2 linked regions of the Drosophila melanogaster genome follow. The protein of the gene in region 1 purifies or fractionates together with the protein of each later gene. This does not show direct contact. Each region holds a gene or a part of one and is shown on either strand. Other genes may lie near its edges.

Region 1 (7,816 bases):
GAATGGCTGAGATGAAGCCAACCAGTTTGCCGGACTTCTCCACACGAACGCCAACATGCCAATCGCGTTTCCAGCCAGGTGGCTGCAGCGACCACTTTAGAAACTCGGGTTGGTAATCGAAACGGAACATGGCATCATCGTCCTCCACATAGTTCTCATTGAGCAGCGTGTACAGCTCCTTGAGATCATTGGCGTCGTTCAGGTCTAGTGTCACCCATTTGAAGCCGCCTGGCAGAGTGTATGGCAATGCTCTAATCTCACTAATTTCCTTGTTCGGTTCAATGCATTCGTTGGTGGTCACCTGCTCGTCCAGCTTGGTGACTGGCTGTGTGGACCAAAATGCAAACTTCTTGGCCATCTGACGGGTGCTGGCCATAGCATCGGAAACGGCTTGTAGCAAGGCCTGTTTGCCTGAAAGAAACGATGATGCGTTGAATAGTATTATAACATTTTTCGATTAGTTTAAACTGGAATGACTAATCTGCCCCAAAAAAAGCTTAAGGCATCACGACAGTGGACTAGTTTCCCATGACAACAAATTTGCCCAATTTTGGGGTTTCAATGAAGCATCAATCAATGGAATCAACAAGGTAGAAATCTTATATTACACATATTTTATTCGTAATAAAAAACTCAATTGTATCTATGTAAGTATATTCATATTTCATCAAAATCAAATATGTATTTATGATTTATGAGTTGTTTATTTTTCCGTTAGGGCTAATCTTTGGAGTAATTGCACAGAAAATGAAAATTGAAAATTGAATTGAAATGAATAGCACAGCAGTTCAAGTTAGAGAGGTTGGACTGTAGTTCCCGACAAAACCTAACCTCATTTTTTCAGCCGCAGGAGGAGCCTCTAAATGACTTTTCACAGGCATATTGAAAACTTACTTGCATTCGCAGACACTGAAGCCTCATTCTTGGCACCATCAGGCTGCTCCGCATCCTCGTTTCCTGCTGCATTCGTCGATGCCGTGTCCTGGATATTTAAGCCGGCAACAACCTTTTCGAGCATTGCCTCCGATGCGTCGGCCACCTCCTTGGCCTTCTGCTTTAGCTCTTGACCCGAGAGGTCCTCTGCGTTTTCGTTCGGCATATTTTGCACTGTATTTCTTTTTGAACAGTAAAGCAAATTAAAATTGCAATGAAATCGCAAAACTACAAGCAGAGCAGCTGATTTTTTTGGCGATACCTATCGATGTTTTTTAAAGAATCGAAAGTGGCTGGAGAATCAGTGTTACCAGAGGGTGGCGAAGTGAAAAGCTTGTCGCGGTGACCTCTTGGCAGTTTAAAGTACATCGTTTTCTAAAACTATATTTATTTATTGAGTTCAATAAAATTCAATTCAATTCCTTCGTTCAGCAAAGGATATTAATAAAATGAGGGGCTTTAATTGTTTAAAGCTTTAATTGTAAACAATTATTAGAATTATATAGAAACAAGCTTAAGAATCCATCATTAGAGTCCATGTGCTGCGCTTCAGGACGAGCAGAACGAACAAAACAATTCCAAACGCGCTGTGAAAATACTCGGATATTATCCCGACCCATTCCCAGAAAATGTGGAGCCGTGCAGAATACGGAATGACATTGAATATCCAAGTAAGGCCCATCACGATGGAGAGCCGCAGGAACTGTAGGTAACTATGTGGATAATACGGCAAGGATAACTAGTTTACCAAGGTCCAAGGTTTTATCATATCTTACGTCTGGCTGTCAAAGTTTATGCAGTTAATCCTTCCCTCCTCCTCATTTGTGAACTTATTTATACCCCCCTTCACTTTCCTAATGTAAATGGCTGTCAGGGCGAACATGGCGACATTGAAAGTGCTCAGGGCCAGCGACGGTCCACTTATATAGATCCAGACGGATGGGTGCCAATCTGATATGGAAAAGCAATACGTAACCATGGTAACGATTTAAAAGCAATCGCATTGAAAGTTTACCTTTGACCGAGCACCGAATAAAACCGACCAGAGGCAACCAGTTCCATTTACTGGGATCGTTTTCCCAAATCTGATTAACTATATAAATACTTCCCGTCATGATTGCGGCTGTGCTCCAGACGAAGGCGTTGTACCGCAGGAACCGATAGTTAGGGTCGACTCGATTGAGCGACGTCAAGACTTTCCACGTATGGTAGCTGATGACGGAGAGCCAGAGGTTGGAAGCCATCCGGAAAAAGTGCGAGCTGTAACCTGCAAGAAGTCAACGATATAACATTTAAAGCTTCCAGAGATATCTCCAATTCGAACTAACCAGCTGGAGAGCAAATGCCATTCAATAGATTTAAATGATCTAGTATCATGATCAAGCACTGGATAAACCTCGAAACTATACAGCATACAATGCACTTGCCAGTAACATTTCGCAGCTTCTTAATGTATAGATATACTGCGATTGTTAGGACAAAGCATATCATTGTTATAATTAGAACTGAAAAAGAAAATATAAGAAATAAAAAACCAGCTTATTGTAATTAAAAAACTTGCAAAGGGCACACAGAATGCAGTCAGCAGTTTGCACACCAATAAGGAGTTATTTTCGTTTCTTTCTATATAGCTATGAAAACGATATTGATGACTTTTGTTATAAATAATAATTGAATTACTCTCTAAGGATCCAGGAGATATGTGGCTTGTGCAGCGGTGTCGTATTATCCACATGGACTTTGGAAAATCCGAATCAAAGTTGTGCCGGTACAAGCAGTAGTCCTGTTTTTCCATGAAGAGGTCAACGGTAACCCAAAATTTTCCATCCTGGAACCAAACTATAAGTCCACATTTATTGAAGATTTGAATGCTAACCTCTTCTAAGAAATAGTTAAAGTCGCTGATGTAAATCATTTCATCACAATCAAAGAACTCATCTCTGATAATAGCCATATCGGTGAGTGGTACTCGTGCCTGTAGGTCCATGTATGTGAAGTATATATAGGGTTTGAACCGGGCGAGCTCCTCTTTGAGACCATCATCGCATTTTCCGTTGGCCAAAAAGTTCTTGGCTGGGCAGCAGATTCGAATACAGGGCCGCACGCTGCAAACACAGGCCCTTAAATGCTTTTCAATCGGCGTAATCGAACCGTCCCCAAACTGCCTGAACTCGTAGTATCCAGTTAAGCTAGCAGGAATTTCGATGTCATCATATAAATACGAATCGTTTTGCCTTTCAATGTATGAGATATCAACCGTGTCGTAGTAGTTGCACCCGGGAATATCTGCATTTGAGTTGTTCGTAAAAATTAAAAGCAGAACTGTACAGAAAATCACCCAAGGAAGCCTCATGCTGAGCACTACAACACTTGGCACTAAGAACTTTGCCCGACTGGCGATCGATGCTCATCGTTGGCAGTTTAAATAGCCTTCAATAGCCGTTTGGGCAAACACTTTATTCGGAAAGTAGTCCCTGCTGACCAGCCTAAGAAAGCCCTCAAACAAATTTAGTTTTCAAACTCATTTTTTGGCAATTTCCGACCTTTTATCGTTAAAACGAAAAATATTCGTCCCTGGGGAAGATCACCAACAAAAATGTCTAATTCATTATCAATTCATTATAATTTATAATCCAAAATCAAAATGTTCGCCTGTCGATACTTTTGATGTAAATTTTAAAATTAGGCGGGAGCTTTTCCCTGGCGTTAGATTATTAATCCATTTAGAAATTCCGTTTGAGCCATCTGGCCACTCTGGCACCTCCTGATAACGCAATTGTATTGTTTATATAGTTTCTAAAGCCGAACGAGAATGCAATGTGGCGATATCAGTTGCTGATAAGCACTGGAACCCTGCAGTACACAACCCATAACCGACGATGACTGCCACCAAAAAGCGTCTGAAGATCGTTGCAGCCATCTCGCTGCTCCTCCTGCTCCTGGTCTACCTTTACCGAATGGCCAGCTTCTGCCCAAGCGGAAAGGTCGCCGTTTCCGTTCCCGGCGTCGAGGAGGTTCAGGCCAAATGGCCGCCCACGGAAAGTCCGCTACAAAGGAGCCTTCAGATGGCGTACGAGGAGCAGAGCTCTCTTATTCGAGAACAAAAGGCCGAACTCCAGCGCACAAGGGAGAATTTGGCCAGATTGGAGGAACAAGTTCGTAGCCTCCAGACCAGCACACCGCGCAAGTATCCGAAGGTTAAATACCTGAACTATAAGAATCGCAAACGCATACTAATTACCGGAGGAGCTGGCTTCGTGGGCTCCCACTTGGTCGACGATCTGATGGTCCAGGGGCACGAGGTCATCGTGGTGGACAATTTCTTTACGGGACGCAAGCGAAATGTCGAGCACTGGCTGGGGCACGAGAACTTCGAGCTCATCCACCACGACATAGTGAATCCGCTTTTCATCGAGATCGATGAGATCTACCACTTGGCATCGCCAGCCTCGCCACCGCATTACATGTACAATCCGGTGAAGACCATCAAGACCAACACCATGGGCACGATCAATGTACTGGGTAAATATTTATAATATCAATCAAAGAAAATAAGGATTACACCTAACGAGTATATCTTTTTTGAAAGGTCTGGCCAAGCGCGTGATGGCCAAGGTTTTGATAGCTAGCACTTCGGAAGTGTACGGCGATCCCACAGTGCATCCGCAGCCAGAAACATACTGGGGACATGTAAACCCTATTGGACCGAGAGCCTGTTATGACGAGGGAAAGCGTGTCTCCGAGACGCTGAGCTATGCGTATGCCAAACAGGTAATACCTTTAGCAATATATATACTTTTTTGGATAACCACATTCCTAAGCCAGATCGAAAAAAAAACATTAAACTAGCTGAGATCCAGAAATGTGGCAGATTTTTCCTGTTTCGATCGCTAGTTGAGCATTAAATGATCTCAATTGGAATGCTATTAATTGATGTTCCGCTCGGTTGGCTGACGCGAGATAAGATTTCCAAGCGCGAGCACTGACCACATTTTTTGATCTTGGCCAGCAATCTGGGAGTCAAATTAATTGCTCTTTAAATGTATCTGTATCGACAGGAGAAAGTGCAAGTCCGAGTGGCGCGCATCTTTAACACTTATGGACCGAGAATGCATATGAACGATGGACGAGTGGTGTCAAACTTTATACTTCAGGCGCTGAGGAATGAAACCATTACGGTGTATGGAAATGGCAAACAAACGCGCTCCTTTCAGTATGTTTCGGATCTGGTGGACGGAATGATAGCCCTAATGGCATCCAACTACACACAGCCGGTGAATTTAGGCAATCCTGTGGAGCAGACAATCGGCGAATTTGCCGAGATCATCAAGAAACTGGTCGGCGGGCCCAGTGTGATAAAGCAATCGAAGGCCATGGAAGATGATCCGCAGCGCAGAAAACCGGACATAACTCGAGCCCGCCAGTTGCTCCATTGGGAGCCAAAGGTTCCCCTAGAGACTGGACTTCAGCGGACCATCTCCTACTTCCGCAACGAATTGGCGCGTAGCGATCGCTTTCAGGAAAGCTCCAACAAGTACTTTGATACACATACACCGTAGAATTAATTGGGCTTAGCTCTAATTGGTGATGATGGAACGTCTCTAGTCTGCAAATGTAAATATGACCATCGTTAGCACTAATTGTAAGCCCTCAAGGACCACAGAATACCTTTGTCATGGTTAATTTTTTGAAGTTTTGCGATATATCAGCCTATGTATGGATTAGGAAATAGTGATGTATAAATGCGATCAAATGCACTGAATTCTAGAAAACTAATTTGAATTTGTTTAGGAAAAGAAAATCCCCAAAGAATACAGAACTTAGGGAGTATGGAAACAACAGTTACAAACGGTTTATTATTCACGGACGACATTGCTATTCTTTTGACCGCATGTGTACCACATAGACACAGAATCACTGGGTTACATGACACTTAGAAACAGTATAATCCATTGTATTGTAGAACCACTATCGTATTTTAAAAGTGCCCACAAATTCATACGTTACATCAGAAGGTTGCGGCATATACATATATCAGAACCAGTGAGAATTGAACAAATTATTGAAGATCTGTGACTCACAACTTTAGACACATAACACCTATATGCGCCTTTAACCAGTGTAAGCACACCCCGATTCTAGAAGATAAGTAGGGTTTTCCAGTTGCTGTAGTTGGTAGTCCATTAAAAGAGATTTTTTCTGCGAACTAATCTTACCCGACAAGTATTTTACTATTTATATACATGGCTTATCCTACGCTTAATCTACTCTAGTATACATCCATATATACCTAAGACTATATTTGCACCTTTGCTTATCAGCTAGATCAACTAGTTTGGGCGCCCGCATAATCCTTTTCACCTGGCCAGCGGCTCGAGCATCTCGAGGAACAGTTTCTTCATGGTAATGACTTCATCGCGTGCAATTCCACGCCAAAATCTTCGCAGGATATCATCCGCCTGCCGCAGCGAAGGCAGCAAAAGCAGCAATTGTTGCTGATGCGACACGGCCGACGAATGACGCAGCAAGTAGACCACATCGTTTAGAGAATTAAGAATCGTATCACGAAATGCGCGCAGGGAACTCTGATCATCCAGCAGAATGTCGCAGTTGGCCAGCAGGAGCGCCTTTAGCAAGTAGTACTCCTCCCTTCGTGGCGATATTCTTTCCATGCGCTGTGCGATCTGGACGCAGTGGTAGTAGAACTCCGTGTAACCGCACTCCTTGGCCAAATGTTCATCCATCCAGACATCCGTGGCGAAGCATAACTTGCCATTGAACGGTAGGGACCGGAAGGTCAGCTGGAGCGTCAGGATCTCTGCCCACGACACCTGGAGAAGCTTCATCTGGTCGTTAAGTGGCAGATCTATAAAGCCAGGTATCTGCTTGGCCCAGCCAATGACGCTGACCAATTCCTTGTCGTAAATATCACTAAGGACGCTTAGTATCTCATTGGGATCATTGTTGTTGTTGTTTTGGAAAATGCAAGTCCCATTGGGCGTAACAACGCTGGACTCCAGTTTTATGCTGCCCGAGGAGGATGAGGCCTCATCATTAGTTATGCTAGTCGTGTGGACTTGCGGCGGCGGCGTTTGGACGCTCAAGGCATCCGGCTCATATGAATTGAGCACCTCCAGTATCTTGACATCGCACAGCGAGGTGGTGTTGGATTGGTATAGCAGCTGCATAGTCTGGTAAGAGTTTGATACAGGATTCCTTCGGTACTTCTGCCGTCCTCCACGAACTCGATCCAAGCGCACACCCTCCTGAAAAGTTAAAGCGATTAGAGTTTAGGAACTTTAACTCGGGACTATGAAATTACCTTGAGCATGCCCATTAGTAGACATTTCTGGAAGCGACACGCTTGGCAGGCCTTGCGTCTCCGCTTGTTAATCTCACACTCGTTGTTCGCCGGACACGTGTACTCGATGTTGCCTTGGATGGTGCGTTTAAAGAACGCTTTGCAAGCCTCACAACTCGCCACACCATAGTGGAATCCACTGGCCACATCGCCACAAACCAAACACAATCGGCGGAGCTCGTCCCTGACGGATCCCGATCCAGCTCCGGCACTCGCATTGGTCGCATTTCCACCACTCGTACCACCACCTCCTCCTCCGCCATTGCCGCCACTTGTACCACTTCCTTTCAGACTATCGCCATCATTGCTTAAGGATACATTGTGCAAATCGCAGGATAGAGAGGTCGTCGAGCTGCAGAGCTGCCTTTCCGGCGAAACCGAGGGCGAGGATTTCAGGCCGTTTGTGCCACTCTGCGTGGCCGTTGACTTGGAGCTGGGACTAAAGCAGGACGCCGATGGAGTGTCCACCTCCTGTTTGATGTGCAAGATGCTGACGCCGTCGGACATGTTCGTGCCTTGGCT
Region 2 (6,597 bases), on another chromosome or scaffold:
TCCCCCATCTTATCGGGTATTCCCTGCCCCTCCAACGCACAGTATATTTCCAGATGGCGAGCTGTTTGTTTACATACCCGGCTTCAAGAAGGAGCCCCTGCTGCAGTTCATCGATGAAGCACCGCTGGTCATCAACTATCTGAGTTTCAGCTCCTTTGGTTCCAATACGGCGCGGTGGTTTTACGACTGTGGCTTCGATGGTTATGGTAAGGATGATATATAGTAAGCTATAAGTCTATATCTGTAAGTATGTTCTAAAACTGACCCATTTCAGGGTCGGAAATTGCACCGATAGTGAAGGAGGAAACGAAGACGGAAAAACTGCTAAGCCATCTGAATATCCAGGCGGAAAATGCAAGCATGCCGGCTAATCTCAGCTCCATATCGTTCCACTTCCAAACGCGCTCCCTCGCCTACGAGCAAACCAGTTCCTTGCTTCAGACCCGCATGCACATGATGATGGTAATGAAAGATAAGCTCGAAATGCAAATATTTAGTGTGAAACAGTAAAGATACATTCGCCTATCCATGCAGCACTGGAGGGATAGTCGTCTTGTCTGGAAACCCGAGGACTTCGGCTCGCTGGAATCTTTCGAACATCCTGACCTTCGTATATGGAAGCCGCATATGAACGTCCTCAACGGCGCCCTGCAATCCATGGGTCAGGTCCTCCAATCCTATGAGCTGATGGTCTACGCCAACGGAAGCATCACCCTGTACGCTCAAAACCTCCAGCTGGCCAGTTGGTGTGTGGACAGTGCCCGAAACTGGCCAAGCGAGCGAGTGACTTGCGACATCGAGCTGGGTCTCAATGGCCAGGAGGGGCAGGAGAATGTGGCGCTAATCTACGATGATCAGCGCAAGCCGATTGCGCCCAATGAGCACGTGAACACGCCATCCGGCTGGTCGTTCACGCAAATGTCCGTGGTGCTGGTGGAGAACGATTCGCAAAGGCGATACAACCCCAAGGGAATGATGCAGAAAATGACCGGCGATGTGGCAATTGAGTTCACGCTGCAAAGGAATCGGAGCTTCTACATGACCGTCTTCTATTTGCCGTTGATTGGTAATATGAAAATGTGTTTGATTTCTTGTTATGGAATAACATATAACTACAATATATTCTTTCAGCCTGCCAGATGTTCCTGATTTTGTCCTTTGTACTGCGTTCTACTCGTAGGAGTTCCCTCATTCTCATCGCCTTGCTGATTGCCGCCTGGGGTTTAATGTACATGACGCGCTACGCCTCTCCGCATTATGTGCCGCCCATGAGTAAGTTTTAAATCAATTAACTAAAACTCACTGTGTATAATTTTCAAATTCAAATTTTCACTTTTCCTACAGTGACTGCATATAAAGTCATCATGATGACCACCACCTATTGCTACATTCTGCACATCTGCATTATATGGCTGGATCTATATCCACCCAGATCGAAGGCTCCTGGCTGGCTGGTTAGGGTGATTAACTCCAATGTTCTGCGATGCATTCTGGGATTGAGATTTTCGGATGTGAGTAGTTAAGCCCCTATTGAACACATATACGTATTGCAATTCACTATATTCCTACAGTCTACCGACTATTGCGACATTCAGGAGAATCCCTGGCACCATATGGCCAAGATCCTGAACAACCTGAGTTCAATCTTGGTCATTATAACCTTTGCCATCGTAGATATTACGAGTGGGTTTTGAAAAACAGAATTTTTCTTTATTGTGCATTTGAGAGAATATTAATGGTTCTTAAATAAATAAGAAGTAAACAGAGAAGATTGTGAAGATTTTGCGACTACAAGTTGAAAAAGTGGGAGAGCGTGCTGGGCTGTTGCGACTCCTCGCAGTTAATTGCTGCCATTGTTCCAACTCCGATCCGGGATCGATTTGGATTTGGAGTGTTTTGGTATCGGAGCTTAGTGGTAACCGTATCCACCCAGGGACAGGGCAGGTGCAGCGTATGACTTAACCAGGGCAGGAGCTGCGTAGCTGATGGCTGGAGCCGCATATGACTTGACCACCGTGGGAGCAGCGTAGCTGATGGCTGGAGCGGCATGGGCGTAACTGATGGCTGGAGCGGCATAGGACTTGATCACCGGAGCTGGAGCAGCATAGGCGATGGCAGGCGCAGCGTACGACTTAACAATGGGCGTGGCATGGGAAACAACCTGTGCATGCAAAGTAGATTGTAAGATTAAATGGGAAAATATCAGAGTATATCCAGATCTTACCGAGCTGAAGTGCGAGTAGCTGGTGGCTGGAGCTGCCACCTTGACCGCCACAGGAGCAGCATAGGACTTGACCACCGTGGGAGCGGCGTAGCTGATGGCAGGAGCGGCATGGGCGTAGCTGATGGCTGGAGCGGCATAGGACTTGATCACCGGAGCTGGAGCCGCATAGGTGATGGCTGGGGCAGCGTAGGACTTGATGACTGGAGCTGCAGCTGCATATGTTATGGCAGGAGCGGCATGGGCGTAGCTGTAGTCCGGAGCCGAGTGTCCATAATCAAGGAGTCCAGGAGCAGCAGTGGCCACAGCCAGCAGAGAGGTAAGGATCTGGCGAGGTAAATGGAAAACCAAACTTTGATGTTAATCTTTTTGATCTAGTGAATATAAGATCGAGGTAATCCTTGTATGAAGATATCCTTTGCAGTCAGTATTATTGGCTTAAAGTGATAATACTGATCCTAGGCCGCATCCTTTCCAACCCTTTCCACTCACCAGAAGTTTCATGCTAGCGCTGGATAACGAATCACTTGGCTTGGAGGGAGAATTGCAACTGTAAGTGGACGTGTGCATTGCGTTACTTTTATACCCCTCGACGGCAGACCACGCACTCGCACTCTCGAGCGGACTGCGAACTGCGGACCGGAGGACAGGTGGTCGAGCGGACAGATCTTGACTAGATTTCGATCTGAGCCTCGGACGGACAAACAGTCAGCAGACAGCAGTCAACAAAGCGGGCCAAGCAGCACCAATTTGTGAAGTATCTCGGCTGCAGTGAAACTGCAATTCTCGTAGACGCAGCTCGGATTGGAGAGCCCCCAAACGCGGATGACGCAACCTGAACTGGAGCTGGGAGTTGGGAGCTCCGAACCGAAGGCAGACCACTTGCCGGCTAAGGAGTCGCCGCAGGAAAGGCGGTCTTTACACTGGGGGTGCCATTGTGGCTCGCATTTGGAAAGCGCACGCTAATTGAAATCGCTGATTAGCTGGCCAATTTGGGCAACGCGCCAGGTGACACGCCCCTCGAAAGCACGCAGCCTTGCCACTAACAACTTAATTAGCCAACGTAGAATGCCGTCTAATTGTTTTCGTTGCTATGTTTGAGTATTCTCGAAACAATTCTCGGCGTGGCGCTGGGAAATTCTCTCCAAATTGCATAATGAACGCTTGCCAAATCGGCAAACGCCAAAACCAAACACCAAGCAGCAATCCCCTCTGGCCGAAATATCTAGGCGAGCTTCATATTTATCTTTATCGTGCCTCGAATGCCGCTGCGTGCCACATTTGACCATATTGGATGGGTGATTTCAGCCGCAGCCACGCCGTCTCGTCTCGAGGACACTCGTGCGTGGCGAGGGGGTTTGGATCGAGTGGAGGCCCCAGTTCGCCAGCTCCAGCTCCAGCTTCAACTCGCCATCGATCCATCGACTTTGCCGGCTGAAATTGCCGGTTCAGCATCTGGCAGTTCGTGGGATTTTTTATGGCCGACTTGATTAACCCCACGGGATGTGCGGGGGTACGGAGGTGTGACATTGGGTCATCACAAAATTAATAATGCTACAAATTGTTGAGAATGCTCGTCGTGATCCTTATCACGGATTAATAGTGTCTCAAGTAATCATTATATCACTTATTCGCTTTAAGTATAGATATGGTGTATATATTCATTTCTTAAATGATTTATATTTTTGTGGACTTTACATAACTTTTTGAGACAATAAGGTAGTCCGTGTTTAAATACTTGCTTTATATATTAGGGTTAAGAAACTAAAGTTTGGAAAGCACATAATGTCTCAGATTAGCGCATGCAACTTGCAGCACTTCAGTGGAGTTCCTCTCAAGAGGTCTCGAAAACACCACTTCAACGCCGAAATCTCGTAAAAAAAACTCGAAAAAAAACTTAGCACAATGAGAAAAGGACAGCACGAAACGCCGCAAAAGAGACAGAGAGTCACCTGCGATCGCAGTTCATGCATAAATCATGCATGCCAGTGGAATGTGATTTATGTGAATTCTATTAGCAAATATTAAGTCAATAGGAGCAATTGTTGCCAGTGGTCGGCGACTGCCAAACAAGTGTTCCATGTCCAATTCGATCCGGACAGATGCGGACAGATCGGTGTTGTGTGTTGTGGTCGGTGTGTCGCCGGTCCTCATAAATAAAAGATTTCCCAGCCACTGCCCCACATTTTGGCCAGGTGGAAAGCAATTTTCCAGCAATCGGTCGGTGGATCAGAAGGGTGGCAAACTCGAATGCCAAATTGCCACATACTAAATGACGATTTAAGGCGATCAGCCGATCGATCCTCGTCTTGGTTTTTATGGCTTCGATCGAGAGGCGAGTCTTTAGCCGCATTTGGATTTGGCGATCGGGCGGCGTGTGCTCCAAAATGGGTGCAAAATGCCGCGAATTTTGGATGACGGGCCTAATTAGCCACTGGCCACAGAATGGATGAGAGAATTCAAAGCGATTGCCCAATGGATCGCAAGCGCAGAATTCTTCGCGGCGCACGCTGCGTATGCGTTATTTTTCGATCCATTCAATTAATTAACGCCGCTGCATTTGACTTGCAAATGCTTCGCGGAACGGCCAAGAAAAACATTGCAAAATGGAAAAGCGCCGCTTAATTAAATCAAAAACAAACGACGAAATCAACCAGCCTGAAAAACCAAATAAAAACCGCGTGGCATTTATGACGCTTTGCCTGAATTAATGAATGAATCGTGGTGGACATGGAAATGGATTTGGAGTTCAGCTTTTGGGAGCTGACAAACTTAGAGCCTCGCTGCTGACGTGACTGGAAGTTTTTGAAATGCACCGCACCAACTTTGATGAATTTGTTTTCAAATGTATGATTCCCTTAAAAATCGATTACAATTTGGATAATATTTTAAGCTAGCAGAAAAATTCCATGTGATGATATATATATACATATTTGGAGGTCTTGTAAATGAATTAATTTTTTTCTTTGTGTATTCCGAGTCCATTTTGCATTTAGCAATCCCAACTGACTGCAAATCAATGACTGTTTCTACTCCATAGACTGCTGGCCATTTTGTCGCCTTCTTGTTTGTTTTTCGTCAACAGGAATTGGTGGTAAGTGGTGTATTTATGGGATGACTGCGTCGAGGCGGTCGGTTGTGAAATGATTATTGCCATGGTAATGGTCCAGATAAAGTGGGCTGATTAAATAGAGGAAAACGGGCTATAACGATCCTGTCTATGGATATTTGTGTATGTTAAATGGCGTGATTAATAAATAATATTTAATAAAATACAAAATATTTAAATTTAAAATGCTCTTAATGTTTGCGCTAAGGTGAAACGGGTTTGATGTAAGCTTAAATTTAAAACTAGCTTTTTCGCTGTCTTAGCTTAAAGATAAGCTTGGCTTAGTGGCGCCATCTAACAGATGTTCTGCTCAATTTTCATGACCAACAGATGGCGTAGCTTAGGACAGCGGACGTAGATAGCTGTCATGTATATTTTATGTTTTATGTAATTTACTTGTATTACAAACTTTGTTTTGAAATATAAGTTAACATTTGCAAAAAAAAATATAATATTGTTGGCTAGATTTATAGTAGTATATATAACCTTTTTAAAAAATGTATATAAAACATTCAACATCGACATGGAATGGAATCCTATTGAATGAGCAATTCAAGTTTATCATTCAATACAACTCTTTTTTCTTCAATCGATTGCCCTTCGCTACGTTTCCATAGAAAAAGACCCAGAGACTCAAATAAATATAGATCAAAGTCACTGAAGTTAATGACGTATGAGCAATGCACGAACCACAGCATTGGGGTGTCGGCGATTTAAAGGGGTTAAATGCTCCCCTTGAAATTCAACAGGTGAGCAAGTGGGTGGAATACCTATGTATGTTTGTGGGATGGATGGATTGGACTTCGCTGAACACTGACCTTAAATCCAATTTTAAACACGGTTTGTTGAGGATTGCTCCCCTTTTCCAGTTTAGCCGTGATTAAATCAACCTTTAAGCCTAGATTATTAACTGATTAAGTCCACTGCAGTTGTGTGACTGACTGCGCATTTAAGATTGTTTTTCTTTATTTGTGCGTTTGTCAAGTGCAGTTTGAAATTCAAGTTGCCTAATAACTTAAAACCCCAAGCAGCTTTAATGGCCATAATTCGTCTGTGGACGCAGAAGAGGTGGAAGAATCCGAAGGCAAAAGCCAAGAGGAGTGTCTTCGTGTTGTTGCCATTGCTTTTGTTGTTATGGCGGTGTTAATGTTGTTGTTGTAGCACCACTATTGACATTATTGATGGAAATTCTTTTGTGTTTTTACGGGGGGCAAAAGGAATGAAGAAAGTAAAACTTACCGCGGCAACAGACGAATTTCAAATGCTC

What was found.
Region 2: the proteins of Uxs (region 1) and CG34205 purify together in Drosophila melanogaster (affinity purification with mass spectrometry, with the first as the bait; one large-scale study listed by BioGRID). This does not show direct contact.

What each region holds. Positions count from the first base shown.
Region 1 is NT_037436.4:8,177,229-8,185,044, forward strand, and holds Uxs (UDP-xylose synthase), read left to right. Parts: upstream 1-3,694; 5' UTR 3,695-3,812; coding exon 3,813-4,455; intron 4,456-4,522; coding exon 4,523-4,704; intron 4,705-4,991; coding exon 4,992-5,492; 3' UTR 5,493-6,141; downstream 6,142-7,816. Other genes in the region: Nmt (N-myristoyl transferase), read right to left, coding at 1-411, 895-1,099; mthl7 (methuselah-like 7), read right to left, coding at 1,448-1,646, 1,710-1,884, 1,949-2,200, 2,262-2,438, 2,614-3,286; ERR (estrogen-related receptor), read right to left, coding at 6,291-7,199, 7,256-7,814.
Region 2 is NT_033778.4:22,128,420-22,135,016, forward strand, and holds CG34205 (uncharacterized protein), read right to left. Parts: upstream 2,881-6,597; 5' UTR 2,792-2,880; coding exon 2,714-2,791; intron 2,549-2,713; coding exon 2,225-2,548; intron 2,162-2,224; coding exon 1,910-2,161; 3' UTR 1,695-1,909; downstream 1-1,694. Other genes in the region: NtR, read left to right, coding at 54-206, 275-462, 535-1,066, 1,132-1,272, 1,345-1,511, 1,572-1,694.